2 linked regions of the Struthio camelus genome follow. The protein of the gene in region 1 interacts with the protein of each later gene in a pairwise test. Links are inferred from orthologs where the notes say so. Each region holds a gene or a part of one and is shown in the gene's direction. Other genes may lie near its edges.

Region 1 (15,268 bases):
TCAAATACTTCAAACTGAGGTCCTTCCCCTTTTCTGTTGGTGTAATTATTTTGTCAAGCACAGGCGCTTCTCCTCCTCTGGTGTGGTTTGTTTCACTGCGCTGGAGAATTGCAGGTGCGGGTTAAATTGTGTATTTTCTTTCTCCCAATTCCTTTTTTACCTAGTAGATCGTTTCTAGGTGCGTGCCATCCTGGTCCCTGGTCGGTGTATCGCGTCTGACTTACCGATCGTTGCTGATGGCGTACATATAGTACATACGTATTGCCACGCGTGGGAAGAGACTGGTAACCCGATGTTTCTAAAGCCACGAGCGGTAGCTGTGGTGCCTTTCAGAACTGAGGGCAGAAAAATTTCAGGTGGTTGAGATTCCATCAAAGGAAGAGAGAGTTAAAATGTTTGTTTTTGTTTGCAACTGCACAGCAGTTTAGCAGAAATCACTTTGGGAAAGGCCCAAATTAAAAACAGCAGCGATAATCATTTCATTAAAGCTTTTAGTGCCAAATCAGAGGTAATCTCTTTTTATGATTTGTTTCCAGCGTTTTCAGCAAAAAAATTAACAGTTAGAGCTGATGTCAAAGTGTCTGTGTAGACAGAGTGAGTATTTTTATTCTAGTGAATTGTCTGCTATAACTTGGAATCTCTCTGCAAGCACAGAGAGGAATGTCAAAACTAAGTAAAAACAGGAATATTTTAGGTTAACAAAACTGATCTTGGTTTTCTCCTCTGCTCATTTACACTTCAGAGAGCAAGGGTCAAGATGTCTTCAATGTGAAAACTTTTGTGTTCAAAACATACGTTTCTATGTGGAACATTTTGCATGTGGAAAATATCTCATACAAATCACTTTTCACAAAACCTCAGAGTGCTACCAGAACTGGCAACATTAAAGCCAACAGCATCGAATATATTTTAATTCCGTGTTTGTAGAGAGATGTCAAATATACCATCTAACATAGACGCAGTGAGTAGCTTAAAAATAATTTAAAAACGGGAGGAATGTTTTGAAAATAATGAAGATCAACTGGTAACAGTAGCTCATCACATAGTTGTTTCACATGGTTTTTCCTTGGTGCAAAAGATTTTGAACCGTTCAAGCTGAACAATCGAACGGTGATGGAAAACCTTTAAGAATGGAAAGCGGTTTGAGAAACATTATTGCGTGTTTAGGCACATATTTAAGTTTATGAAGCTATTTCAAAGAAACAGGGAATTTAATTTTTGACAAGCGAAGAGGTGAGAGTGTTTTTTAGCAGCATGTAGTGACATAGGTATAAATTGTAAGCTCCATGGTTATGAACAACCATACCAGTACCTGAATGTGTTGTATCCATCATGCCGTACAGAAATCTTTGCATTTTTGTGTGTGATATATGAAATATTTGGGGTTTTGTAACTGTAGAAAGCTGTTTGCCATTTAAAGTCAGTATAGCTAAGCCTCAACCGGCAAGATTACGACTCTTCAATCCGTTTTAATAATTCAGCGTGAAATATCTTTGTGACATTCGTAGCCCAAATATGCTGTCAGAGATAGAAAGTGTTTATATGTTCTGGGTGTGTTATATTAAAACTAGAAAGCTTTAGCGTGCTGCATGCATTTACAAATTATCCTCCCAGTGGATGTCCCATGGTATGAAATCTATGTTTTTGAAACTAGCCTTTGCTACTTCATTCATGTTGATTTTTTTTTCTTGGTGCGCAGCGCTGATTTGCAGCTACTGTCTCGTGATAAACTACCACGTCTGGATGGGCAGACAGGTGGTGAAACCTGCCTCCCAAACCATCCTCAGTTCTGGGCTCTTTACGGGTGTGAGGTTCTGTGAGGTTGGGTTTGGTCCCTCTGGTTAAAATAACTTTTGTTTTTGTGTTTACTTCCATAATTACCTCACGTCTGCTTCCGGTGGCCTCATCTAATTCTCAGGGTGACAAGGGGTGCAAAAAAATGTTTTTTTTCCACAGAAATCTGCTTTAGCCATTAGGCCGCCAGCTTGGAATGACTTAATGAGAGCCGGGCTAACGACTGTTTGTCAAACGTGTGTGTGTGTGTGTGTGTGTGTCATATTTGCAATACAATCAGCCTCTTGAAAGCGAAGGCTTATGTGATCAAGTCTTCCTTTGAACTTCTGGCTTCTAGTTTGCAACACAAAGCTTTGTCATGCCGTTGCAATGAATCATTTTAATAACTGTTAAACCCTTTGAACATAAAGTTTTATAGCAACACTTGCAGGAATTAAATACTTTTGCTAAGTCTTGGTGCTTACGGCCTAAACCAGATGCTGTCAGGTGCTCGCGGCCTCCTCAGTTAGCATGGGGAAGAGGGTTTGGCTTGGAGCAGGGGCCGATTGCGTCAAATACTGAACAAATGCTTTGAGTAATAGTAGAAGAAGAGGGTTTCTGTCCTAGAGTTTACAGCTGAAAAGCGCAGGCCTGAAAAGGAGGGTGGAAATGGGCTAGACCACACCAGTAGTGCAAGCGAGGGATTCCTTTCCAGTCTCGTGATAGCTGTGTGTGGGGGGTTGTTTTTTTGTTTGTTTGTTTTTTGGAGCTATGTAGGTCTGCCATTGGCAGGAGAGGATTAGCCAAACTTGAAGACAAGTAGAAGAGAAGGTGTGCTGGAAATGGATGAGCAGGGGAGATGGTAGCACACCCTGCACGAAGCTACGAAGCAACTGCGAGTATTGGTGCGAGCAGGGAGGGTGGAGAGGGCACGGGGCAGGCCACCCGGTCCCGCAGGGGCTGCTAGGCTGGTGCAGGGCTGGTTTGGTCAGAGCAGTGTTTCTGCCCAGACCGCCTTGCTGCTCTCCCAGCTGCGGACTTTGCTCAATCTGCTGATCTGGGTTTGCCTGGAAATCGTGCCCACCTCAGGAGAAGGGGGAATGAAGCAACATGTTTCTCCTGCTAATAAGTTCTTTAGGAGCAAATTCCGTGTCTCGCTGCAGCTAATGGCAACACTCCTGCCAGCTTGCTTCAGAGCAGTGCTCAGGCCTTCGACTGCTGAAACACTTTCTGCTGTTAAAATCGATCACCTGTGGCCCCAACACTGTATTTTCCTGCTTGCTGCTACTATGACGGGAGCATGATTGCTGAGGGGTTGTCTGTGCAAAAGGTTATTATTATTTTTTTTCCGTTATGAGTGGAAGACTGCCACAGACCAACGGTCTAAAGATTTCATAATCAGCAGCCCTAATTCTGAGGCGGAAGATGACCATTTTTATTATTACAGCCAATAATCCATGCGCACGTGAGACCGTCGGCTGTCCGTGAAACAATAACTCAGGTTTTTCCTTGTGTGCAATTACATTTCTCTCTCTCTTTGATTTTCTTTCGTTTTTTAGCCGGCTACCGCACAGGGATAAACCAGAAGTTGGAATCTTGACTTCAGCCCTGCGGGCTCTGTCAGCTTTTTATACCTGGCAGGCTCAAAGGGCTATGTGCGAAATGGATTTCTCATAGTTAATTATAAACATAGAGTGGATTAGATAAATTAGGTTTCCTTATAGTCAATAAATAAGTGTTTACAGTCAGTAAACTGCTGTGTTAGTTTCTGACATAACCCATTTTTCAGTTGGTTAACTGGTCGGAGACTGAGCAGTGTGCACACGCATCAGGATGTCCCCGTAATGGGCAAAATAATCTTTATTGGATTGTTTCAGGACACAATATGAGAAAGAATACAGCAGGCTGATGATTGTGTTTGTGCATAATGGATGGATGAGAGAGGTTACGTGACATCCAAGTGTGCTGCGAGTGTGAACGGGGCTGTCAGAAGCTTGTAATGTCTGTCTTAAAACATAACCGCAAAGGAGGTGTCTGCGCTGAGCTCTGTGCAATGGTTAAATGACTGTGGCGTTCATTTCCACTAGTGCTTTTGGTGTGAGTGGAGGGAAGAAGCAGAATCTGGCTTTCGGCAGGTTTTAAAAAAAAGAAAAAACTTCCCCAGAGCAAAACCTCTCCATCCCAAGATCTTTCTCGCAGTGTTTGTTTATACGGCGTTACGTTGGTTCTTAGTATTTTGTATGCTTTGTGTTAGGTAATTCCCAGCCGCTTACACATTTAACAGAACGACCTGTCGTGGCTATAAGCTCCCATTCAAAATTTTTTGTTAATTTGTACTGAAGACTGCTACACGGAAGGGATAATCTCTTCTGTTTACACAGCAGACAGCTCTGGCAGGGACAGAGCACGAGCTGCTGGCTTTCTGCAGCATTCGCCTGGGTATTTTGTACTAGTGTTACCAGTAAAGCCCTGTCGAAGGGGGAGGCTGGAAGATGAGTCACGGGACAGTCTCGCAGTGGTGAAGTCAGCAAGGTGTGACAGCGTTCAGGACTGGAAGTGTATGACGGTTGCATTTAATGTGATGTGCTGTGTTTTTGTATAGTAGCGTCAATTGCTGTCGTCATTGTAAAGCACGCGGGCCGGTTCCTAGAGACCCGTGGCATGACGGAGAGTAACCCCAAATAAGTGGGGCGGGGGGGTTGGACTAGATGACCTCTAGAGGTCCCTTCCAACCTCAGCTATTCCATGACGCTGTTTCTTAAATTCTTTCAGCAGCATGAATGATCTATTGCTTGGTCTAGTAAGCCAGAGAGGTGGGGGTCTTTCTTTTCTCTTTTCTCAGGAAGGTGAGGTTGCATTTCCTGCATATTTGTAGTGGTGGAGACCCTGCGTGTATACAGCGCTATTCAGTTGGTTTGTACACAGGTAGGACATATTTTAAAAATGCAGTCACCAAAAAAGGGGTTGGAAGGGACAGAAAAAGGTTGTGTAATCCATGCTCCTGTTACAAGACAATTTTTTCTTGTTTGCGAAATTATGTGGGAGCTGATGCTCATGCTTAAATTTTAATTATTTGGAAATACTTGGCTGGCCATTGCAATGTGCCATCACAGAGTGGCAAAGGTTGGAAGGGACCCCCTCCAGTCTGACCTCCTGTGCAAAGCATGTCCCAGTGGAGCAGGTGGCATCCAGGCGAGTTTTGAATCTCTCTGAGGACGGAGACTCTAGAGCCTCCCTGGGCAACCTGGGAGGTTTGACCACCCTCACGGAAAATGGTTTTTACTTGCTCCTAGTTGGCACTTCCCTGTCGATTGTCTCTCGTCCTTCCACTGAACGCCCCCCATCTTCTCCACACCTTACCATCAGGTAGCTATATTACGGTGACAGTTTATTATTTGCAGCTTGAAATTTGGAGCCAGTAAAGAACCAACAAATACTGCAGTCCCACTGTTTTTCCATAAAGCTGCAACAGGGCAGTGCAACCCCTTTAGAGAGAGAGAAGCGTATAGTGTTTTTGAATCTGAATTGTTTGCGAAACGTTTGTTTGGAGGCTGTTTCTTCTTGCTTCTTATGGTGCTTGAACGGTTGCTGGGGGGCAGCGGGAAAGCATTGTCACAGTGCACAGAAGGGATTTAAAAAAAAAAATCCTTTTGCTTATTCTGTAATGTTTTCCAGAGAAAGGCAGTATTGCACGTTAACATTTACGAAGCAAGAAACTTACTCACTAGACTACCCGGAGGCTTTATTTCGCTCTGCTAAAACTTGGGAAGAGCAAGTTAAATTGCTCTGTTTCTGCTTCTGAGCCTTCATTAAGGAAAGAGCCTGAAAAAATGCAGGGCTGGGGGGAAAAGGGGGATATGCGCGCAGTCTGCGTATCCGGTAGGTGTGTATAGCGGTCCTTTTGATAACGGCCTTTTGTCGTTTTACAGCTTTGTGAACGTGACTCTCTAGGCAATACCTGCTTACCAAAGTATATAGTTTAGTTAATGTGCTTACGCAGAGTGATCCCCTGGTCTCCTCTGCTAGCCAGAGAGGAGGAGAAGTTACTCTGTAACCATGAATCTGCAATGTGCAGATCAAGAAAAACCAACTCATGTTTTCGTGGGGAAATTCGTGCAGTCTCTAGCCTTTGCCTCAGAAATGGAGCGCGCAGTAGGATCAAATTAGAATTTTTATGAGTTATGCTAATTTTCAAACGCAAAGATTTCTAAATTGATATAGAGGGAGTTTAATGCCTCTTGTTAGTTAGGAAAGTTTATTCTGGCCTCTATGATGGATGAAGATGAATGAAGCCCTGCACTAGAAACTGGTAGTTCCCCAGAGATCAGTAGCTGTGACCAGATTACACTGAACATGTAACGCAGTTCGCAGTTAGTACTAGCTCTATATGTGTGGTGCCTTCAAGGGGCTAATCTTCCAAAACGGAGAAAAAAGTGTGATGGAAATTGATTGAGAGGAAATATTTTCTTAATAGAAATTAGAGTTCCTTGAAATGAATTTATTACACGATCGGAAAGCTGCATTCTGCAGTCAAGAAAAGGGATAGTTGGCGGGGGAAACTAATCTTGGTTTAATAACAACAATTTGAAATAAACAATAAATGAAAATGGTGATGGAACTATACATAGCAATCAGTATAAATAAATTACTTCAGAAATTGATAACGAGAAACTAGAAATATGAGGGAAAAATCCCTGGAAGGTCTTTTCAACATACATTTGCAATAACAAGCCATAGTGATGGCACAGGGCCTTCTAAATTGCGATGCATAAACTAGTAAAATAAAAAAGATATTTGGTATTTACCAAAAACAGCAAAAAAAAAGTGATGTGCCTAGGGATCAGCTAAAAACGTTCCTCCACTTGATGGCAAACTGTCCTCTTTTTTCTATAGAGGAGTCTTGTTTACCTGGAAGAAAATGAGTAAGGAATGGTTAATGGCTTTGGGGAGGTCATTGGCTAGGCCCAAAATGTATTTTGGGTGTGTGCCACGTCTACTAAACGTATCTCGCAGAAGTGCTAGGGAAAAGAGGCCTGGCTCTCCTCCTCCTTGTGGGCCGAAGGAAATTGTCTGGGATTCCCGTTTCCAGCCAGGGTCCTTTGGTAATCCTGAGCGCGCGACGTTCGCACACAAGACCGTAGCACTGGTTGAGCATTGCACTGAAAGTCGTCTTGAGTAATGTGGTATCAGCTCCTTTCAAGTGAAGTTTATGACAAAGTTAAGGTGTATGTACTTAGTTATTCGTCTCGGGGAGGAGCGGTTACATCCCAAGTGGCATTTATGGGCTGGGATGCAAACTTATGGGTGGATATGCTGGCACAAGTTACTGCGATGCGCAGACAGTGTGGAACCGTTCCTGAAGTAGTTTCAGAAAGTAATTTGTAGCTTTTTTAATAGTAGTATACTCAAATTTTCCACGGGAAAAACTTGAAAATGCCCCTTGCTCCAAAGACCATTTTCAGGCATGTTGCAACCCTTGCTATTTCCTGAATACACTCAGTTTTTTAAACTGTTAATTACACTGAAAAAAGCCATATTTGGATTCCTGCATTTCCCCTCTCCTCTTTTTCTTTTCCTCCTACATTTGGCCCCATCAAAAGAAATGACAAAAGGTCTTAATTATTGTTCTGAATGTATTTTAAAACTCAGCCTTGCATGAATGGCAGGGTAAATAAAATTTTCATGTGGTACATGCTAGTTGTTATGGGGGCAATATTTTAAATGGGAACATGTTTACATTACTTTGATACATCACATCAAAGTGAAATAGTAGATGATATAGATGGTATGAGGATGTTCTTGCTTTTCTTTTGCTTTTGGCCTCGGGGTGGTGGGGGGGGGGGGGGGGAGTGCAAGCAAACTGTTGTGAGACGCAGTAGTGGTGCTGTCAAGGCCAGTCCTGCAGAAAGGGACAAAGTCTGGGAATGGGACACAGAGCGCTGCCTGCCTGCTGCAGTCCTGAACGTAGGCAGAGTCAGAGATAAAAAACCCCATATTTTTATGGTGTTAGAGAAGCGTTCCTCAGCGCCTCCTAGCCAGGGCCCTGTTCTTAAAAGGGGGCAAAATCTCCCAATATGCCAGGTGTATTTCAGAATGTTTTACGTGGATTTTATTCAGTATCTCTTTATAAGTGAAAATCTTTGCGGTTCAGTTTGGGCTGAAGTTTGTCCTCGGCAGTTTGACGCTCCATTGCTAGCCAAACGGGTAAGATTTCTGAAACACCTGACCCAAGAGCCTGTCCTGTGCAACACGTAGAGTTTTATTTTATCGTTACAGTGGGAGCCCTTTACCTCTCTGCAGATGGAAGTGTATATTGCCGGGAGGCCAGTAGAAAAAGCCATTGTCAAATAGTATAATCTGTCAGGAGGAAAACCTTTTCTTTCGTTTTTGAAAAAAATCACTTCCATTGACTATGATTCCCCCCCTCCCCGCTTCTGTGTGTCGCTGTATGCGGATATTTTATGCTCTAAGCCAGAAGCTTTTCTGCGGACGGCTGCAGCCGGCCGGTCCCCGGGCCGGGCCGGGCTCCCCGCTCCGCGCCGCCGGCGCTCGGGCTCGTCCTGGCGCTGCCGGAAGCGCCGGGCCAGGCGGCGCCGCCCGCCCCCTCCTGCCTCCCTCCCTCCCTCCCTGGGCCGGGCGGAGCGGCGGCGCCGTCAGGAAAAAAGTGTTTTGTTTTGGTTTTTTTTTTTGGTCTTGCTTTACTTTGTATTTATTTCCTCCAGTTCCGGCGGCATGGCCGGGGAGCCGTGGGCCGAGCTGCTGTCCTTCCCGGCCTCCCAGGCCATGTGCCCCGCCGGCTGCGGCTGCGGCTACGGCGGCGGCCTGCGCCGCCTGCGGGAGCGCGAGTTCCCCCGGCTCCGAGGTACCGCGGCCGGGCCGGGCCGGGGAGGGGGCGCGGGGCGCACGCGGACCTCGCTGCGCGGCACCTGCCGCCGGGTCTCCGCGCAGAGAGTTTCGAGGGAGGAGTTGTTGCTCCCTTTTGGCGTTTCTTTGAATCACCGTGGAAGGCTGGAAGAGCGGCTTTGCTCTCACGCAGGTGTTGCGAATAAGAAATGAAATCAGGTGTTGCCTCGAGAAACAAGCAAGCAAACAAAAAGGACTGTGGGAACCGCATTTCGAACAGGCTTTTGATGAGTTTTTCTTTCGGTGCTATTAAGATTCTACAACTTGATTTTGAAGCCTGATATTAGTCATGCTAGCTGGGCCAGTGAAAGTCTGATAGCAAGGAGCTGTTTGTGATAAATTGAGACCGTGATTCTGGCAAAACTGAAACATTGTTTAGACACTTAAACAGATGGCTTATCAAACCCCTTGAAAAGGGGACGTGTTTCTCAGGAGGCTGGCCGGTTTGGAAATGCAGCATGTCTCGTGAATTCTGCCCGGATTGATCCATCCGGGGCTCCCGAGTGGGGGTCACTGCAATGGCAGAGCATCAGCAGTTGACCTCCGTTTGAGAAACCTTTGGGTAATGTTGGCTACTGAGTTACACTTCAGTCAGGTAACTTATTACAGTGAGCCATGGGTGGCAGATAATTTGGAATATTTCCAGAAAAAAACAAACATGGGATATAGAATAGAATTTGTCATAGCATAAGCTGATTGAAATCATGTGCTAGCCAGGGCAAGGTCACCTCGGTTGCATATTTCTTCTACCCATTGTTTTCTTTTAGAGAACAACTTTAGACTTTTACCACTTTATCCAACTCATAAATAGTCTTACTTATGTTTTAAAAGCTCCAAGTCCCCTCTGTGTGGAAGATCAGCATCCTTAATTGATCGCTATACGCCCTCTCTGGGATTCCTGCCCTAAGAACAGGAGTGGCTAGTTCAAGAGCTTGTATCTGTAGGTACGTCTGTAGTGCCAATGCCAGGGACAGATCCCTGAGCCCAGGGGGTAAGGCCAGGTTCCCCCTGCCTCATATGTTTATCTCTGGGTTTACTAGTTGGACCAGTTTAGAAGAGAGTCCAGGGCCTGGCTGACAGCAGGGCAGCGTGGATCACCAGCCCAGTGCTTGGACTTATTCTTTGGCCTTCTTTTCTGTAGCGGCGTAGCTATGTTCCTGCTGGCTGGAGGTCTCCACATGGCGACGTGGATGTTCTGTAAGGGATTTTGAAGCTCTAGGTCTCTATTGCCTTTCTGAAAAATGGTGAAGGGAAGGTGATTGATGTCCAGGATAACAGCAGCCACGGTGGGTAAAGGAGCCTTCTCCAAGTGGCATACAAGAAACTAGTAGGGCTTCCAAGTGTTTATCCACCTCAGCACTTTCAGTGACCCCCCTCCCAGGACATCCGTGTTGGGGGGTGAAGTAGGGGATTTGCACCTTTGGTCCACTCAGGTCAGCTGTATCATTAAGTCCTGCTTGTACAAACACTGATTTTTTTCCAAAGGAAGCAGTAGCTAATTCATGGGGTTTATCTCTGCTGGGTGTCTCCCTACTAAACAAGATGTCTCAATTTAATCCCTTATAGTAAAGTGTTCTTTAAATAGTCACACCAGGCAAAAGAGACAATGAGCTCTATTTTTACGTGGTTAACAACAGTAGTGTCATGCCCAATCAGTTATACTTGGAACATGCCTTTCTGTCACTAAAGATGCATACAAATCGAGATTTTGCTGCTGACTTTGCGTGTGAACAGAACGTGTGGAGTCCCTCTGCAGATACTCACGAAATAAGCCTAACGTTCTGTTTTGGAAGCGTTATTTTCCTAAGAGCAGCGTGCGATGATGATATTTTTGGCGTGTCGGTGTATTCAGTTCTTGTCGGTTGCTGGTATTTGGTTGTATCCACCAGGGACCTCTGTGCCAGTAAACTGGGCCCTCTGAGGAAGGAGGAGAGCATTTCTGCATCACAAACCTCTGACCGTATGGTGCTATACCACTGCTCTAGTATGAGCAGTTTTGCATGTGTCTATTGAGAAGGAGGTATAATTTGTGTGTGTGTGTGTGTGTAGGGAGAGAATATCGGCTGCTGGCCATAGTATAAATCCAGGATTTTAACAACGGTGTCTTGTCAGTGTCTGTGGGAGTTTCACCCTTGGCTCCAGCAGAAGGAAATTAGGCTCATCGCGAGTGCGTGGGGATTCCCTTTCAGAGGCTGTGAAGGGATAAGAACTACTGTACTTCCTTGAATCAGCAGGAGTCTGTCGGTGTTGATATAGACGCGTTAAACTCTCCCTTTTAAGCCAGAGTTTATCTTCGTTTTTGTAATTGAAGGGCTGTTAGCTGAGGGCTTCAGCAGTCCCTTCCACAAATATATGTGGAGTCGGTGAAACTGATCCCTGTTTTACAGGCAGCAGTGCATGCACAATATGTGACCTTGACTTTAATCTTGTGGACAACATACCCTTATCTCCAGCGTAGGATTGTAAATTACTCTTCAGAAATGGGTAAAGAAATCAGCAGGAGTTTATAGGTTCTGTTGTTAAGTAATGGGAATGAATATGCCTCTGTGATTTTTATGATAGCAAAGAAAATATCAGCTACGGTTTGTATCACGTTTTTATAAAGGAAAGAGCTGACGTGTGGTTTGTGCTGCAGCATTTGATCCCAAAATACCTTTCCCGTTTTGGATGTGTTCCTGTATTTTTGTCTTAGGTAACTGGGTTCATTTCAGTGGGAGTTTTCCAAGAGTGATGAGCAAAGGATAACCCCCCCAAATAGAAAACAGTACATATTATTGATCACATATTCTTGAAGGGCTGCTGATTATCTGAAGATAGTCTTTATTTAAGACGAAATGCACTGTCACATGTTTAATGCAAAACCGGTAAAAGTACATTCAGTAGTAATCATGTGACAGATCACATGTCACCATGAGTAGAAGTATGAGTTTGTAATATGTGTGATTGTATAAAACTGCTACTAATAATGCAACTTGCCTGTTTAAGAACAAAAAAACCAAAGAACCCCCTAAGCTTTGAGTAATAGAATTGGCCCTCATTTCCTTGATATTCAACTAATGTCCCATGAACTGGTCACCTATACATGAGCTTATTCTACTGTTCAGTTAAGAAATAGTTGGGTATTTGATCTGACTGTAAACAAAATTTTTTTTTTATGTTCCTGGTAATTATTTGCACTGAGACTTTGCCTCTAAGAATGAGAATGGCATAAGCAGTTCTCGGTGCATTGCAGTTGCTTCTCAGTGGATCTGCTAGCAGAGGTCATTAGAGAAGCAGTGTCAGCTCTCTCCCCTGAGACCAGAAAAGCATATCTGTTTTGTCACAAGTTTTGGATAATCCAATGTTTTTGCTGTATTTGAGAAGTAAGAAATGCACTCTAGTGTGTCAGTTCAGAGTAATTTTGTAGACAGCCAATGCTGTCGTTTTATGAAGCTTGTGAAGATGAGTGTACTGTGAGTCTGAAAAGTTGCTCTCACCTATTGATTGCAAACGTAGGTGTGACCTCAGTTTCTTTACTGGTATGGCAGTCTGGTTACCTTGTCAAACCAGAAATTCTACTGGGCTACTGTTTGGGGTGTTTTCTGGATTGTTTGTTTGTTTGTTTTTTTAATTCTTAGGAAAAATTTTTGTAGCCTTCTGATCACTACTTTTTTTTTTTCCTTTTTAATAACTACAGAGTTTTTTTTTTTTTTAAACAAAGACCTTTTGGTTATTTGATTTGGGAGCTGTCTTCTGCTACCTGTGTTTATGTTAGTTTCTGCTGATTTGCTGATTATTCATATGTTTTCCTGTGGATGAATCTGTCCTTTCTAATCTCTTAATTTCTTGGCAAAGACTAAGTGACTGTTGGCTAATCAGTAATAACTTCTGTTTTTAATTTCTTGGAGCATGAATTAGCAGTAGTCAAGTTTCAACATGTGGTTTAAAAACTGGTTTGATAATGATAATGTTTATTTTGACTCACTGTTTTCTAAGCTCTATGCTGAACCAGAAGCAAAGCATGTGGCAATTTATGATCCCATGCAATACTTGATTGTGAGTTCCTTGGAGCCCAGCCACCCACCCCTGGCCACACAGTGACAGTCCTGGGAAAGACGCTGCCTCCTTGTAAGGTAAAATGGTTTCACCTGTTTGCTGAAATCAGCAAACAAAATCTAGTGCTTACCTCTCTTGTCCAAAGGCAGCTGAAACAGTGTGTAGAGGGAAAGATGAGGCCGCGTTTTTGCCCCACCAGGAGTCTCTGGATAACTGAAAGAGCTGCTAATTGTGCTGGAGAGTAAGTCTCACGAGTGACTTCACCTCTAGCTCGTCTTGAACAGAGGAAAAAATATTCTAAACCTCGCATTCTGACGTTTAAATGAAAAAGCTTAAAAATCCAGACTTCGAAATGAAAACTTTCACTAGGCTCTTTTGTCAATAAATATCAGTTACATGCACTTATGGTCCTCTGATTCACACTTAGGAGTCTTCAATTCCCTTTGAAAAAAGAAAAACTGAAAAACAAGTATTCCATGAAATATGACAACAGTTGAACTTTGAGTTTGCTTCTATTTGTTTGCCTTACAACTTGGAGGCTTTTGTCAGTGGACTGGCTTTGCCAAGTGCTATACATATGACGCACAAAAAAGATGTGCCCCGTGCACAGGACAGGGCAGTAGAGAGGACAGAGGTTGCTTCCCTCGGGCGCTTATGTTACCTAACCAACTTTTCTCATTTCTTGGTAGAGTCTGGGAGGACTCTCCACGCTGTTGGTCGTGGGAGCTGCGAGAGACAGGCTGTGGCAGGACTAGGTCAACTTCTTCCACAGTGCTCTGCTCCTGAGCAAGGAAGAGAAATAGCAGATTTCATTTGAGCTGCATTAGTTGGAGCGCAAATATGCAGGATCCCTGTCTTTGGCTAGATTGCAAGTGGACAAGTTCAGCCCAAGCAGTGATATAATGTAGTGAAAATGTACGATTTTAGCAGTGTGGACTTGGAATTGCTGCACTCTGTGCAGGTGGTAAACCAGGAGTGAGCTATAGCAATTATCCGAAATGCATGCTAGTATAGCCTTTATATCCCCTTGTTCTGTCTTGTAGTGTATGTAAGCCATATGCGTTATAGGGGAGAAAAAATAACACTCCTTTATAAAACACACTTTTAGGGGAAGAAATTCTTTCACTTCTCTGTAAAGCTAGTTTTCATAGTTTAGGATTCAGAAGGAGAGGAAGATTATAGCAGATATACTTTTAGGCGTATGGAGTATTTTTATCAATACGTAAGAAAACATCATCACTTTGAAAATGCTTCAGAATGAACTAGCTAGAGAAGGAGAGTAGAAGCAACTGTGATACCTGCTACTGAAAAGCTGAGAGCTCCTTCCCACCTCTACGCAAGGTTTGTTGTTCTCTTCTCAGTGGCTGGGAGATCTCTGGCTCTTCACCTGCTATTGTCCTTATTGTCCTGGACTGGGTATCTCTGTAGCTCCTGTGTCACAGGGTAGCTACATTTCATGAAACTTTTTTTTTTTTTTGGGGGGGGGGCGGGGAAGGCGGGAAGAGGAAAGAGAAGAAAGCAAGAAAAACTGTTTATGGGAGGCAGCTGCTGTTTGGCAGTTTGAAACACCAGAAGACTTCCAAGGAAGATGGATTTAGTGGGTGGAGAGTGTCCTAAATAGAAGCTGTGATTATGGGTAGTGTAATTGCACAGCTACGTGATAATTGTGTTGTAAACACCAATACATGTGTTCTGGTAAAGTCTTCATGCTTCCTGTTGGTTTTGATACAGCAGTAGTTATCTACATATGCCATTGTCGGAAGAATCGGTATTAAAGAGGAACCATATGTGGAATATAAAGTGGATTTAGTATGAAATGTCTTAACTTTTACTATTTCAGTTTCAGATGTTTTTCTCTCTTTCTCCAGCTATATAGACATACTAGATATAGGCTTAATAGATATTATTGGGGAATTTCTTACCTTACGTATCAGGATTCAAAAGATTATCAGTGGTCTGCTTTGTGTAGAATTGATTTTTAACTTGACTACCTGATGCTGGGTGGTCTTTTGCTCTTTGTGATGGGCATAGCTCTTAGTAAATAGTAGTTAATAATATTAACTCATTGTAATATTTTGGCACTGAAGGAATTTTTAGTTACTTGAGAGGAAAAAAGACCCTCAGAGATACAGGTGTCTTCTGTTTCTTGAACTGGATTACACAGAATAGTATGTACAATTCAGTTTTAACTTCAGATTTGGTGTTGTAATACCACAGAATCACAGAATACCAATATAATACCAATATAAAGGTGTTCACTGCACCATTACACTGGCTTTGTAATTGCATGTGCCACATAGTACTAGGCTTTTAAAATTCCAAACCCTGTCTAGAATATAGTCATCTGGAGGAAAAAAGCGGATAAACTACCAAACTCTATAAATCTGATACAGTTGACATGAACTCAGAGTTTTCAAGGGTATTTTAGAAATACATAGTTGATCAGTTGGGACTAGATTCTTTCCAAAAAGAAGTAAACCTATACAGACATGAGACATTTACATCTCTATATAGAGATTAAAAAAAAATTAGATTTGGAAAGATATTTTATGGACTA
Region 2 (16,064 bases), on another chromosome or scaffold:
AAGTAGTTTCTTTGCTCCCACTGGAGTGAGTCTAGCCCCACAGAGAAGTTACAGCAATAACTATCTACACCTTGCTATCAACTTAAAGGGTCACAAGGATAAAGAATGGGATTGAATTCACCTATCTGGGCATCATGTTCTGTGAAAGTGAAATAGCAGCTCTGTTGTCCTGGAATTTTATTTTATTCCTGAGAATAGAGTTCCCTAGAAACATGATGACGTGATTTGGCATTTTTGCGATTGCATTATTTTCCATCCGTTTAGCTGAATCTGTATGTGATTTTGGTAATGTTTTGGCACAGCTGAGCCACAGTCAACTATTTAAAGGCAATAAAGCAAGAATCTCACACAAAAATAGGTTAGTTTTTATTTCTGGTGGAGGAAGGATCTTTTGAATAATTACATATATTATAAGTAATCATTATAACTACTGTAAATGCAATGTCAGAAATTAGGTTTTTCTAGACATTTGTAAGTTTTAGTGCACTGTATATTTTTGAACAAGAATTTAATGCAATATTAAATCCCTACATGTTGGAAAATGGTAAGAGAATATCAAAGAGGTGACTCCCCTTAAAAGACTGTTAAAAGCTCAGAAAAGCTCTCTGTATGTTACAGATTAAGGTCGTCCCTAAAATATACCGAATAATGTTTTAAAAATAGCAATCCAGAACTGATTAGTATTTATAGGGTATGCTTTACAGTTGGCATGCTTGGTAAAATGCATCACAGATAGTATCGTAGGGTACCATGAGTGGTGTAGCAGTTAGAGACTGCTCCAAGAGACAATAATTGCACAAAAGCATGGCTGAAAATGCTGAATTTTGTAATGCCAGCACTGACAGAAAATGTTGTGGTTATATTTAAACTATATTTATATTGCTGCTCAAGAGGAATGTACACTTATATTTTTCAGAATTATTGTATTTTGATTTTTTTTAACTTAAAGGAAATATCTCATCTCTTTGTACATGCATTTATAGCCTTTGGCATAGCAGATGTGCAAAACTTCTCCTTACTATTCCGCATATTTTAAGTGCTTTCTTAAATCTGAGATAATTCTGCAATTTAAGATTGGTAGCGTTCCCAACTGAATGTATGATCCACTACATTTTCAAACTTTAAAAAAAAAAAAGAGAGAGAGAGAGAGAGAGAAGACTGCTTCTTTTTGACTATTATTTTACCTCATGCTCTGACTGAGAAGATTTTTTTGTTCTCACTACTTCCTGAATGGTGCTTATTTGCTACAGCTGCCTGTGGTACAGCCAAAGTTGGAAGCATTCTTCTTACAAAAGCTTTAAGCTTAAACCTCTTGGTGACTACTTGTAGGGTGGCATACACACTGGATCCTATCACAGTAGTTTATGAATTATCTTAAGTTTCTGATGTATTGTAATAAATTTAAAATATATTTTTAAAGATAAAAACAAAATTTTACTATTGTCCACAGATAAAAAAAAATATATATACCTCTTGGTGAAAGGAAGATACTGTTGTTCTGCAATATTTATGTTTTTATATCTATTTATTAGACTGTCTAAAGGGAATAAGTGTCTGGTTATATTTTATACTTTGGGTGTTGTTTCTGGTTTTGATAAACAAAAATGTATTTCTAGCAGGTATGTATAGGTGAAGCTGTGCCTTGTAGAGTAGATAGTTTTATCAATCTGGTAAGTAATTGGGAACAAAAATATAAATTGAGGTTTAAACAACATTCTCAGTTACTATAAACCTGAAGGAATACCCTTATGGCATAGCATGTAGGGCTTTAACAATGTGATTTGTCTTTTTTTCACAGTGGAAAGATACAGCAGAATCCCAGAATGGGTTCCAGAATTATCCTCTGCCATGTTTTTCTGTCATTCCTATGCAGATCATACGTGATTGTTAGATTACGTTTTTACAGAGATGGATTGCAGTGACTGATTTTTAAATTAGCTCTGTTACTTAAGATTGACACAAAGTAGGAACAGACAGGACAGCAATACACATTTTCATTTTCTCTCTTTTGAAATCTGCTGGCATTTCTAGTGTTGTGAAGAAATTCTCTGGATTTTATCGCTGTACCCAGAAGCCTCATGTAATCCAGTAAAATAATACTGACTAGCATATCTGTCATTCTGCTGTAGAAAATGGAGAGCCATAATGCTTTCAAGATCATTTTTTAAATTTGTGAGTCAAACTCTTTTTCGTAGTGCTTTGGACAGCAGGGGAAGTCAGCACAGCCACCTCCAGCTATATCAGCAAAGGTTGTTTTTTTCAGTCAGTTTTTCAATTAAAAAAATCCCTTTGTTTTAGTCGATGTTGCTGGCCTCCGAAGAGGAGGAAGGGCGACGCGAGGACATGGCACATCACATGCGTTGTGTGGGCACATGGCACGACTGAGGGTGCATAAGCCTGACATTTCAGTTTCCTGCAGATGCCTGCTCTGCTGTAAAACCAGGCGACAGACAGGTGTGAACAGACTCTTTCATTTTAGCTCCAAGGATTTCGGTCCCTGAGAGTATTAAAGGCAACAGCAGTTGAAGGCCATCACCATCTTATGGACCCCCAGAAGAGTCTCTGTTTTAAAAGTTACTTTCTTGTATGATATGTGGTAGTAATACACGCCGTACCCAAAACTGCAGGTCTCCTGTGTGTGTCTGTAGGCTCTTGGGTGGAAAGTCCTGCGTAGCTACTGTTGCCCCGCCTGACACTAATGTGCTCACAAGATTCAGTCCAAAAATGAAGAGTGCAGGTGACTTAGGAGAAGAATAAGCTCTAGGTAATTTAAAGTAGATCTTTGTACATTATGAGAGTAGGCGAGGAGGGGAAAAAGAAAGAGAAGCTATGTACACTGTTCACAGCTCAATTTAATATGGCTGGCTTACGTTAGAAATGCATTTAAACAAATATGTTTGGTTATGAGTGTTCTTGCTGTTCAATCTTTTCTGTAAATTGACTCACTTACTTATAAGGAATTTGTTGATTTTTAAATCTTTGTCACTATTTTTAAATCCTTGGCACTGTTATCACAAGTATAATATGATGTGCTACAACATATTGGCTGTATCTAACCTGACTAGATGTGAGCAGTTTTATATTTGAAGAAATAAAATTGTATCTCACTCTCTAAAGTCCCTGAGTCATTTCTGTAATAATTTCTTACCTCCAGTATCTACAGAGGAATAATGCATGTCTAGGAAAGACCTATAGGTAAGAAATTATATCATTTTCCTAATCATATACTGGTAAGTAAATTGCACTATCTTACCTGGCACTTCATATCTTAGAAATAATGGCACTCTGCTGCTAGACAGTGTTCAACTTGACCTTTAACAAGAAAATGCAAACCCCATGAGATCAACAACTTCCTTTAATTTCTGACATGGTAATTCATCACCTAATTTCCTTAGACATTACATACAAACTGACAACTCCTTGAGCTGAAGGAAAAAGGCCACTGCGCAGATCAAGAATTGGTGAGCAAAACCTTAATTGCTGATTTTCATATTCCACCAACTTTACTTCTATTAGGCTATCTCTTAATCTGTTGTTTTCTACCAGTGGGACAGACTCGCAGAGGAAGACAACGTTACTGCCTCAGAAGAGATAAGCAAGATTTGGGCTTACGTTAGCCCCTGCGCCATTGTCCCCTTAGCAGCAATTCCAAATTGATCGATGCTTCCCTCCTCTTCAGATGACAGGTGGATGGCAGCTGCTCTTCAAAGGTCCAGGTAATTTCTGTCACATCTGAGCTGAGCTTTGTCTTCTACTGTCATGTCCTTGTCCTTCTTACCAGGTGGGCATGGTAGTGGTTCTGCTGATAATCTACTCATAAATCCTCAAGACTGCAGAGGAATCACCCACCTGCATGGCAATTGGAAGTAATAAGTCAAACTTTTAAACGCGTACGCGTATAAAACTTTGCAGCCCTGCTGACTGCTCAGCCAGCTGGTTGGCAGCCGGGGAGCTTGGCCGGCCCAGGAGCACAATAGGGGTAGAAATCTGCCTATTGGAATTTACTGAGGCTCCCCTATTATTCACTCTCTCTGACCCCCTCCAAAAGATTATGGCTCTAGAGAAAGGCAGTTGGGCAAGATGTTGAAGAAAAAGACTTTGTAAGCCATCACATGCCTTGAGATCAGTTGATTTGTCCCCAAGGTAAGAGAATGCCTCATTGATTTTAAGGGTATTTGGCTAGATTTCTCTGGGCACAGGCAACAAACGTAACAGACTTATGTCTTGCAACCACTATTTTCAAACCTAATGCAGGGAGCATATCTGATTTCAACTGAATTTGATTTTAGTTTAGCAGTTTCCTTCCAAAAAGATATACTCTGGTTTTTTTCCTGCTTAAGTATGTAACAGGATGTGGCTTAGCAGATTGGAGATTCTGTCTGTCTTTTAAGACCTTGCTACTGTTAAGATCTAAAGCTGTCTGCTGAATTTTGGAGGGACCACACAGTTATTTGCATAGTATGGCATGATGGGTTTACCATGTTAGTATGTGAATACTATCCCTACAGTCTTCATGGCAGTCATGGTATCTCCAAAACCTGGAACCTGACAAATACCTTGTGATGAGTAATGTATTCACTGGATTTCACCTAAATCTGTTTGTCTAGTATTTATGAACAACTTGTCTTTTTTCCGCATGGTTTCTTCTGCTGATTCTAATGAACTATGGCAAGAGATTTCATGTGCCAGCTAGGTGTTTGCTGGTATAGTCACATAGTACAGATGTACAAAGCTACAGACAAGAGAAGGGCATTTCTTGTGAATACAAAAGCTTATTAATAAAAAATCATGAGCCTAATTTTTCTGAAACTGTCTCAACAAGTCCAGAGGTAAATTCATGTAAACCTGGCCTAGTACGTATAAACAACTGATTGGCAGAATTACATATTACCAGAAGCATTAAGTGCCAGGATAATGTTCTTATCTCATTGAAAAATTTCAAAACCAATTTCCTTCCATTGAAACTTTCCAAATAATTGATCTCTATGTGTGATCTGTGTATACACTATGCTGTCTTTTGTCTTGCACCTACAGTGTTCTTTACTAAGTCTATGTTTGACCTTTTGGGGTCCTTAATGTGCAATATAGAAATATATTGTACGTTTGAAGGATCTAGTTGGAGATATTCCAATACTTCTATGAAACTCTATATTAATGAATAATATATTTATTATTCATTATCCTATTTATTTTTTTTAATAGAAGATTCTTAACCCAAAGAAGATACAGGTTAATTAGAAAGCATAGCTCAATTTTAAATTTAAGCATAAGCATAGGTTCAATCTAAGACTCACTTTGTGAGCTGGAAACAAACTTATCTTCAAGTGTGAGTTTGAGATGGTGGTGGCTGTGAAAATTTGGAGTCCTGCTACCTGATAGCAGTGCTTTCTGCCGTTATAACGTAGCCCCCACTGGGATGATTAGTCAACCCTGGGCTGGCCTTTTAGGGGCTGAAATCATATGCAACAAGGTCCTATGGGCTACATAACCTGCCTTGAGTTGGTATGGGACAGGAGATGTGGCTGCGCAGACTACCAGCCAGGCAATATGTTGTGCTGTGGTCCACTCCCAGCACCGCCTCTCCCAGCACAGTACCAGAGGTGGCCACCGCACGCAGCCATGTGAAGAGGAGTGGGGGGGGGGGGAAGGGAAGGGGGCTTCATGGTGAAATACAAAACCACTTTCTTGAAGTACAAGCCTGAAGTTCTTGCCTCTCAACTTCCAGGGGTGCCACCAGGACAGGCTGCAAGGCGTTAGTTCCCTGGAGGGGAACAGGCACCTAGCATGTCTGGTTCATGGATACAGCCAGGTCCTGTGAGAGCTGTTCCCTCCAGAGATTTTTGGGTGCTCTCAGGAAAAGCCATCCCAGAGACGCCGTGGTGTTGTCTTTCAGTGGGATGCAGGTGAGAGGTAATATTGCTCAGCCACCCTGTGAAACACAGACAACTGCTCCCTGGGAGGACAGGGGTGGCTGGTGCTCCTGTATCTGACAGGCACAAGAAAGCAGAGGAAAGTTTATGGCATTGCACTGGGAGAATGTGAGTTGCCAGCACTGTAAAAGAGAGTTTTTGGGAGGAGCCAAAGGAAGGAGCCTTCATACTTGCCTCAATTGCTTGTTATTGTTGAGCTTCTGGCTGAGATATGTGGAAGAAAGGAGAAGCTTACCAAAGCTCTTATTTACCAGTGTCCTAAATTTTAACAGCCTCTCTTTGAATCCCAATCAAAAAATAGACACTAAACAGCCACAAAGTAGCCTGTGAGGAAATGTCAATGTCGTCTTCTCTAAGAACCATCCTTTACTGTGCTGTTAACACACAGCCTGGGGAGTAGGGATGTGAATGTTCAGCAGTTCACTACATAGAATTGGCACATGAGAAGATGGTTGACTGCAAACATTTAGAAAAATATAAAGAGTAGACTTTGGTCTAATTCTGTTCTTTATGAAGTCAGTGAAGAGTCTTACTGTAGGCAAATACTGCAATAGCAGTAGAGCAATAGAGTATTTTTGAAAATTCCACTGTTATTGTTTAAAAGACCACAGAGTCAAAAGGCTAGAGCAGAAGTGTACTTAAGAGAAAAATGTCGAACTCCAGATCAAGAAGAATCGATAATTTATTGCATGGCCTTAACTAGCTTGGCTTAAACTTGTGTAATAACAGAAGAAATACTTTGAAAACCAGATATGACATCAGGGCTGACCTCTCTCCCCTGAGTCAGCTATCTCAGATTATGAGTATACTTTCAGCTGCTGCAGTGCTCATTTTTATTAGCCTAGACCATGGCTGGTATATTATGTATTCTGTCTCTTCCACCTCATGCAGGAAGTAATATTCTATCTGTGATCACTCTGAGTTCTGTAGTAAAAGAAATAGAAAACAGGTGTGCATGGACAGATATGAAGGTGAGTAAGAATGCATTTGAAGTCTGTGGATTTAGCCTCCTTTTATTGCCTGGCAAAAGTATGTATGTGATCAGGATACAATTAATTTGAACTACTGGTTGGATCATCTGTAGGAACAAGGCGCTGACAGGAAGCACGGTGAGAGCTCTTGATCGCCTGCTCCAGATTTCTATATGCTGGATGCAGTGAGGTGAGCCTGAATGGCAACCTACTGACTATTGTGTCTGGTGCATGGGATCATGGAGCATGATCATGAAAGTATTCACTTATTAAATGTAAAACAGAGCAAAAACCTAGACAAACAAAAATCTCCACCGAATCTATATTACTACAGCTTTTATTTGTGGTTAAAATATTATAGAAATAGGAACTAGGCATTCAAAAGCAACATTTGTACATCTGCCATAATTTAGACCTTGTGTGTACTTATATGGCGTTTTGTGCTGAATGCAATATTAATTTAAGCTCATATGTGCATATATATTTCCAGATCAAAAGAAAAAAGTAGCATATGTAGTTGGAAATTTAAGATACAAGGCGGGGAGAAGGAGTGTTGTAACTATCTTCAGAGAGCATCATCATAAGTTGGAAAAACCCTGCAATAATGTTATACCTAAGAGAACTGCAAATAAATTCAGAAAGAAGCCCCTAAAGAACACAACAAACTTAAGTCTGTTGCAGTGACCCCTTAGCATTATTACTCAAGGCATTACAGTATTTCTGTTCCCAAATCAGATTAAGTTATTTTAAATGCACATTGAGTTTCCTTTAAAATATATTTTCTGCTTGTGATGTTAAATCCTTACCTATAGCTCATGAGGCTATTAAATAAGGAATATTACATTTGATATCTAATTTACATATGCTAGGTATAAAAAAGTATGGAACAAAACTGAGTAGAGATACTAGGACTTGTAAGTTATTTGGTGTGTGACTTGGCAAATGCATGCTGAGTTCTGATTTTCCCATGCTGTATAACCCAGCGCACATTACTGTCTGAAATATCTGATTTGTTCTTTTTGCCTTTAATACCAAACTTAGTGGCACAAAGGCAAGCAGATTTGTGTGCCCACAAAATCCTACTCTGCTGTGCCCACAAAATCCTACATGGACGTCTGTGTGTAGTATTTGGGTCCAAAGTTGTGTCATTGCTGTTTATAAATGCTGCAGATTCACATGTGTGTATATAGAAAGGACTCTACATGATTATTTTGCTTTCTTTTAAAATTATATTTCATTGTTTTTAAAAAAATTGTTCAGAATTGTTTGTATCCTAATCTATACAGCGCATGAACAGCAATTCTTAACAAAACAGAGTAATGTGTGAAGGTGGGGAGATTCTGCAGACAAAATCCAAACGCGCAATCAGTGCTAGAAGCCAGAGAGAGCAAACCTAAGGAAACGTGAGAGTCTCTTAACGGCTTGTGTTGATTCCTGGTTTTAAGTAATGGTGGTAGGGGTGAATGAAATTATTCTCTAGGGCATATACTAACTGCATACAACAAATACTCATTGGTGTCTATCCCTCATCAGATAACCATTGTTACTGGCTTGTAAAAACAACAATTATTAGCTGATTTAGAAATATCCTCATGGTAATTTCATTTCTCTTATTATGTCTAATGGATAGCTAGATATTTGCATAAAGTGTGTGTGGCTTTTTGCCTAAATTGTTAATCGAGTGATTAAGAGGGGAGTGAAGTAGTACATCCAGATGACATTAATGCTGTTCCAGCCCTAGATGTCTCCTGAACCAGTCACAGCCAATTACCTGTTTTAAACATACTTTTCTCTTAAGCAGCTCACCTGCAAATCAACAGAGGATTGGCACAGGCAATAATTTATCATGCTCACTAACCTTTCTTTCACATTCTTTTTAATAAAGGTCTTTTTTGGCAGAAAGGGGGAACGCGATGCCCACCTCCAACGACAGAGGTACAGGGGCAGAAAGACAGCCCGCTTCCCAAAATTGGCTCAAGGCTGGAGTGTACGTGGCAACCCGCGCGGGGACCTGCCCAAAGCTCTTCAGTGGCACTTCACTGCTCGATTAGTCGGAGGACAAACCGCGGGCCGCCGAGCTGGTGGGGGCCAGCCAAGGCCGCGGCGGGGGCGGGGGTGACCACCTCGCCTGAACGAGGCGATGTTTCAGCGTGCGGCAGGAGGGCGGGTGAGGAGGGTGTCGCTTCCCCCTGACAGAAAAACCCTTCTTCCAGCGCCTTGAGGCAGCCGGGACCCCCCGTCAGCCGCAACGAGGAACCGCCGCCCGGGCTGAAAGCCCCGAGCGGAGCAGGCTGGGGTGAGGGCGGGCTGCGGGGCCTGGGGGGGGGGGGGCGGGAGCCGCTGGCCTGGGAGACCGTTGGGCTGAGGTGGGGGGAAGGGGGACCACAGGGCTGTCGGGGGACTGGGGGGGGCGTTGGGCTGTGGGGGGGCACGGAGGGAACGGGCGCGGGCCGGGCGAGGGCAGCGCGGCCCTCCCCGGCGGGCGGGCGGGCGGGCGGGCGGGAGGGAGGGAGGGAAGGAGAGGGAGAGCGGGAGAGCGGAGCAGGAGCTGCCTCAAATGCCTGAAATAATTCCGCTTCCGTTTAGAGCAGGGGCCAGCCTCTCGCTCCGCCTGGGCTCCAAACCTGTCTCCCTTCATCCCTGAGCGGCGGCGGTGCTGGGACCGCCATGGCAACCTCCCCTCAGAAGTCCCCGTCGTCTCCTAAATCCCCCACCCCTAAATCGCCCCCGTCTAGAAAGAAAGATGACTCCTTCCTGGGCAAACTTGGCGGCACGCTGGCAAGGAGGAAAAAAGCCAAAGAAGGTAAAAAAAAAAATTTACAGGTTTGCACGCTTCCTGGGAGTTACCTTAAAATGGGGGGTGGGAGGAGGAGGAGGAGGAGACTGGGGGGGGAGAGGAAAAGGCTCTGGGGAGCGGGAGGAAGGGGCTGACTTGGGACGGACGTGTCGGGTGGGCAGGCGAGCAGCGAGGGAGGAGCGCGCCGCCTTGCCCCCGGCTTCTCCCCGGCCGCCCTGCGGGGCCCGGGCCGCCGCCGCCGCCGCCGCCCTGCCCGCGCCTCACGGCGGGGAAACGCGGGGCCCGAGCGGGCCCGGCCGCGCGCCGCCCCTCCCCCCGCCGCCCCGCCCGCCAACCGCCGCCACCGCCAACCGCCGCCACCGCCAACCGCCGCGCGCGGGCCGCGGGGTGCGGCGCGGCGGCCTGAGCGGTGCCCTGCGGGCAGGGCGGGCGGCGCCGGGCCCGGGGGTGCGCCCTAGGACGGGGCGTGAGCCGGGCAGGGGTCTGGGTGCCGGGATGTGTGCTGGGAGCGCAAGGCGGGTGCCGCCACAGAGAGGCAGCGCCTCAAAAGCCGGTGTGATACCCCCGGCGGAGGTGCCCTGCGCCTCGCTGCATCCGGGCGAGGAGAGGTCCCCTGGGCTGCGTCGGCGTGTGCACCCCACGGTGCCTGCTTGAGATTACCTACTTTTTTAAGCTGTAGTGCTAAAAAGAAGGAAAAAAAAAGTGAGGCTAAAGATGCTTATGTCTGCTTTGGTTTGCAGTGTATCGACTTATAGTGGTGTACAGCATGCTCTCAACGCATTGCTCTGAGAGAATGATGTGATTATGTTCACTCCTTAAAGGTTTAAATTTTAACCCAGTTGTTCCTAGACTGAGCTGAAAACCTTTGCCTCGTGATAGTAATCCTTTGAAGAAGATTGAGCGTGTACAAAGGTCTCTTTCTTTGTCCGTACATGTGAATTAATATCCAGGCCCTACTGAATCTGCCTATTTAAAATCCCATGAGACAGAGAATTGGAATTTAACCTCACTCACCCGTCATTTTGCAACTGATGATGCAAGCGGAGCTAGAATAGCGTCCGCTTCAGAACAGTTTTTCAATTAATGTTTGTCATTCTTAAGCAAGAAAAAAAGAGTTATGCTCAACAGACCCTGATTTCTGATATATATGTGGAGAGTGAAATTTGGCAAAGTATTTCAGAATAGTGCTAATGCCATGGACAAGGACGATAACACTTTACTTTGAAGAGTGAGCCCCTCGCTGTAGCCATCACCTGTATTTCTGAGATGCATAGTCTTGCTTTTCTATTAAAATACGTTACGCAATTGTGCTGATGTTATTCAAGCTTCTGTTCATTGCAGTTGGCCCAGAAGTTTATGAAACAGTGAATAGTGGCAAACTTTACTAGGGATCCACTTCCTTATGCCATTTCTGTAAGAGTATCGATGAACTCTAGTAGCAATGCACTAGAAACAATCTTCTGTGATGTGTCTGTATTGTAGTTATGTTTTGAGACTTTTAACTTAACCTATTTGTAGTAGATTTAGCATGTCCAGTGTTGCTATCAGACAATACTACTTTTATCAGTGCCACAGTGTTATGTCATAAATCTACAGGTATCTGTCAGAGACAGCACGGTTACTTTTATTCACAATCTTGTAATCTTATTTAAAAAAATGTGTTCCATGAAATCATAGTTTTTGTCTTTATTTCTGTGTCTCTATTAAATTTATTAAAATCTACACCTGCTATTTCATTGTCTCATCAAGTTAATATTTACCCTTTTAACATTTTGGAACAACATTGATGATGTGCTTTGTGTTTCCCAATTTCCTAAAGCTTTTTAAAAAATCACAGTGGTTTGGATTTTTTTTTTTTAAAACTTTGTGAGAATATTGTAGTATTTCATGATGGAGACAAAATGTTTCATTAATTTCTCCATAGCATCTTTCTTGGAAAGATCTTGGAAGACTCTAATGATACATTCAAGAATGTATCTTTTATTTACTTATCTTTTTTTTTTTTTTTTCATTGGAAGCACGTGAGACTGACATGTACTGGTATGGCTTTATACTAGTGAGAATGATTTTATTTTATTTTATTTTTAAATAGCAGATTCAAATGGTAATGACTTTTAAAGCCAATACGTTTTTACAGTGAACCCTTTCTTCTTCATGCCTCCTAATCTCTCCTACAAATAAATACGGGTCTGCACACTATTCATGAGCCACGTTATTTCTTGCAGGCTGTGATGCATATGGCTTCCATCTTATGTTGTACTGTCAGAGTTTGTAGGACTCAGGCATATTTGAAATTAAACTACAGCCTTCATATAGGAGATCAGATTGCTTGTGGGTCTAGCCTCTGTTCTTTGATTTTCCTGCTTTAAAGACCTTTCTAACGTCAAGGTTATAACAGAGAAATGTCTCAGTTATAGGAGTGTACATGATCGTTCAACTGTTAACACATATAAAATATTAGAAAAAGTTCAAGGGATTATTCATAGGGATTTGAAAAAATGTTTTTTTTCTGTTGGCCATATTTAGACCTTCAGCTTTTGTAACTTAGAATGAGGTACTCTTGGATGGCACCTTTTCTCTTCACATTTTTTTTCCATAGCATCTCGACCTGTTCGCTAACCTAGTTAGTCTGCTATGGATATCTACCTCATTTTGAATGTGAACATTGATCTCTAGTTATTTAAGGTCCCTAAATACTATAAATTGTTAATAACTTTTTAGAAATAATGGTATTTTTGCTATGTAGGTTATTTATTTCTCCTTCTTATCTACCTAGCCTTGTGCTTTGTGATTTTAGTATGCTAGTAGAGTAAATTCACCTACTGTGTTTCAGCTATGTCAGTATTTCTTCATCAGTCAACAACTCTGCTTATTCCAGTTTATTGCTGTTATTAATGCATAGGCAATAGAACAAGTCTTGTTCTGTTAGTCTTGCTTTGTGATTTTAGTATGCTATAGTAGAGTAAATCTGCATAATAGATTTCAGCTGCGTCAGTATTTCTTCATGAGTCAAAAATTCTGCTTATTGCAGTTTATTATTATCTTTAATGTATAGGCAACGGAACAAGTATTCCTCTTCTAGATGAATGTAGACGATGCAGAGGATGCCTCTGTCATCCTGATCTCCTGATCAACGGGTTTATGGGCCTGGCTGGTGCGTGCTATGGCTTTTTTCCAACCTGCATGCCTTCAGGGACAACAAAGGGGCTGTTGCAGCCACTCTGTTTCAGTCCTGCATTAAGCCAGACCACGTTCAGGTTACATACCTGGAAACAAAAGCTCAGAAGCACACCTGGGTCTTAGAGATTAGCTGTTGCTCAAGAAAGTCATTGAGGCTTGTGCTCTTGAGAGAAATAAGGGGTAACTGAAAATTTCCTTTCTTCTAGTTGATATAAGCTCTGCTATTACATAGAGGACAGAAACTTACTGGTTTTCTTTGGCCTTTTATCATATGGTGTAAAAGTTAATGTTTCTAAATAATGCAAAAATGTTTTATCTGTTGTAGGGAACATACTAATTACATTTTAATACTATTTATTTATGTATCTAGATAACTGTTGTAGAAGTATATAATTGTATGTATTAGGTTTTGTATTTTTGCCATCAACAGACATTGTTAACTGTCAAAACAATATTTTTATACATCACAATAATAGAGCCAGTGCCAGAATGCTCTACCAAATACAAAGCCATTAGGATCTGAAGTGATAATAGTACAGTCATGCAAGCTATTTATAAAATCTGTGTAGTTTTACATGTAGCAAAAGTGGCTTACAGTGCAATATAAAACGGATTTTTGGTAATACCTTTCATTTTCATATAGCAAGTCCTTCCTTACGAATTTCACAGTTCCTGGCAGTGGTGATTATTCCACCCGTGTTATAGATGAGAATATCGAGCAATGTAGAAGTGAAGTGAATTCTCTAATAACGCAGTACGAGTTGTTGGCAGAGCAGAGAATACACACCCTACCACAGCAGAGAAAAGGCTGATCATCTATTGTATATCTATTATATATTATATGATAATTATTGTACTCTATACCAGGACAGAACAAAGAGAATAACTTGAGATTCTGTTAGTTGAGATACCGCTCATGATGTAAGTAGGGATTAGTCATGCCTTAGGATGTATGTTAATTTGCAAAATAAGTTGTCATTAACTATTAGAGAATATTTATGAAATATAAAATCTGGGAGTGAGGAAGGCAAAGCTGCTTGGGTCATCTTCTGTCACACAGGGCTGTGGCCTGGATTTTATTTACAGTATCTCATCTTCATTGGTGTAATTCAAGGGTAAGAGCATCATACTTTAGTCTTTCCTGAGAGGGCATGAACAACTGCAACTTTAAATAGTGTATACATTTTGTTAAAGGAACAAAAACTACAAATGATTAACTATGTTTAAATTTACTATAATTACCTTTTTAATGCAACAAAAAATACTGAGATAATACTAGAATATTTGATGACCTGTTTACAAGTGAAGCAACTATAAGCAAGAATTAGCTTATAGTAAGATTCTGTCCCTTTCATTCTTGAGAAGTGTTCAAAAATTAAGCCACCCCATATATGCCTTTGAAGGATTCCAGTCTTCGTCTATCAGGAGGTAAGAGCCATAGTGAAGCTAATTTTACTAGCCAAAGCCAACCACAAGTTAAAAAAAAAAAAAAAAAAGTATAAGCTCCTCATAGTACTTTGTATTGTGTACTAAGCATATCTTTATACAAGTGCAAGGAGAGAACAGAATGACCTCTTTTTTGGGGGTGGGGTTGTATATTATATTATCTTATGAATTTTTCATGGTGGGTTCATTAAGGTCATATGTGATTGCCCTCCTTGAATTTTCCTGGCCTGGCAATTATAGACATACAAATTTAGCTCCTCATAATAGCTTACCTTAGTAGAGAATCTTAAGAATTGGAACCTGACGCTCTAATAAATCTGTGACACATTCAGAAACAGAGAGCGAAGTTCAGAATTGCTTAAATTGCGTAGGAGCAGATGGAAAACAGACAGCTTGGACCTGTGAATTGGGTAGAGAGCAATTACTGCCCATTGTATGGGCTTGGTCAGTTTTCCGATTGATATGACATCAATTTCAGTAATTTGACTGCTCTTCTTCCTAGCTTATTTGGTGTTGATGGGCAAGAGAAGGAATGAATTTTCTTCTAGCTTCCGCTTATATGATATTTCTTCTTTATCCTTCATATGTTTTGGTTTTATTTCATTTCAGTATGTGAGGTCACAGTAGGCTGTGTTTCTGTGTGTGCCTGAGGGAAAATTACGATGTTAACAGCATAAAATATTTTAGATTTGCTATTTCTTGATATTTCCCTTCAATTTCTTAGTCTCCATTTGCTACCATAGCACATTTCTAACAATAATATAAAAATCGGAACAACTACAAATTAAAAATAAGCGTAGGGTGATGAGAGCTCTTCAGCTATTTTAAATAAAAATTTTTGTCTTTAAGGAATCAGTGACTAAAATGCCTTGTTGTGAGACTCTCTGAAAGAGAAGTCATACCTTGATCTGGCTTATGTATGTGCATTGTACTGTGAAAGAAATGTATTTGTTAGTATACAAGGAGCATTCTGCTGAATTTTGAGATTTTTGAATTATTTTCTTTGGACCTGTTTCTGCAACTTCTCTTTAAGCAGAGTAGTGCACTATAGATACAAAGGGCTGTTTTTTGTAACAGTAGGACTTATCTTTTGCTCATCATCTGTTTGTTTCTCATGTGAGAGATCCTAGACTAACTTAAATGCTTTGCAGGTTTTTTCTTTACTATTGCTACCTGATGCTGTATTTAAAATGCAAATGAAGTTGAAAGAAGAACTGCTGTGTCTTACCTATGCATATTAGCAAATATGTTGGTAATAACATATAGTATGAAGAAAATCAATGGGCCCGCGTGTGCAGATTTCATAGCAATGCTTCAAAGATGCATGTAGCATTTTCTATGAAGAAGAAATGGGTTGAGGTAGGTTTTGCCATCACTCTTATATAAATCAGTAGTTCTGAATTTTCATTTTTACTGCAGCATATCAGTGCATCAACCCTAGGCCTTCTTGTGCTATTAGAATAGCTGAATGGTTGTTTTTGATGACTGACATAATGTGCTTTATCTCCAGGCTTAATGTGTAGCAGCTGAAATGTGCTTATACTCTTCTTTCCCCTGTAAACTGTGTTACATATTCCCATGTTCTTGGTGTGCTGCCACAGGCATCATAGCTGCCTGTTTAACTGATGGTGGACAAAAGCTATTAGTACCACCTTGGAATAATTATTGCCTTGGAGCAAGTTGTGTAAAGTAGATAAAATACTTCTGTTAGGTGGAAGGAACATGGAAAGTGAAAAAAAT

Evidence for each region.
Region 2: the proteins of MOCOS (region 1) and PARVA interact in binary tests that used the Homo sapiens proteins (3 or more experiments, as listed by UniProt). The two-hybrid records come from large-scale screens. The link is inferred for Struthio camelus from reciprocal best matches to the Homo sapiens genes MOCOS and PARVA.

Annotation. Positions count from the first base shown.
Region 1 is NC_090943.1:70,331,782-70,347,049, reverse strand, and holds the start of MOCOS (molybdenum cofactor sulfurase), read left to right. Parts: upstream 1-8,415; 5' UTR 8,416-8,505; coding exon 8,506-8,635; intron 8,636-15,268. UniProt on the Homo sapiens protein: Sulfurates the molybdenum cofactor. Sulfation of molybdenum is essential for xanthine dehydrogenase (XDH) and aldehyde oxidase (ADO) enzymes in which molybdenum cofactor is liganded by 1 oxygen and 1 sulfur atom in active form.
Region 2 is NC_090946.1:25,101,852-25,117,915, forward strand, and holds the start of PARVA (alpha-parvin), read left to right. Parts: upstream 1-8,732; 5' UTR 8,733-8,747; coding exon 8,748-8,888; intron 8,889-8,944; exon of another isoform or gene 8,945-9,114; coding exon 9,115-9,197; intron 9,198-9,226; exon of another isoform or gene 9,227-9,267; intron 9,268-9,487; exon of another isoform or gene 9,488-9,492; coding exon 9,493-9,704; intron 9,705-16,064. UniProt on the Homo sapiens protein: Plays a role in sarcomere organization and in smooth muscle cell contraction. Required for normal development of the embryonic cardiovascular system, and for normal septation of the heart outflow tract.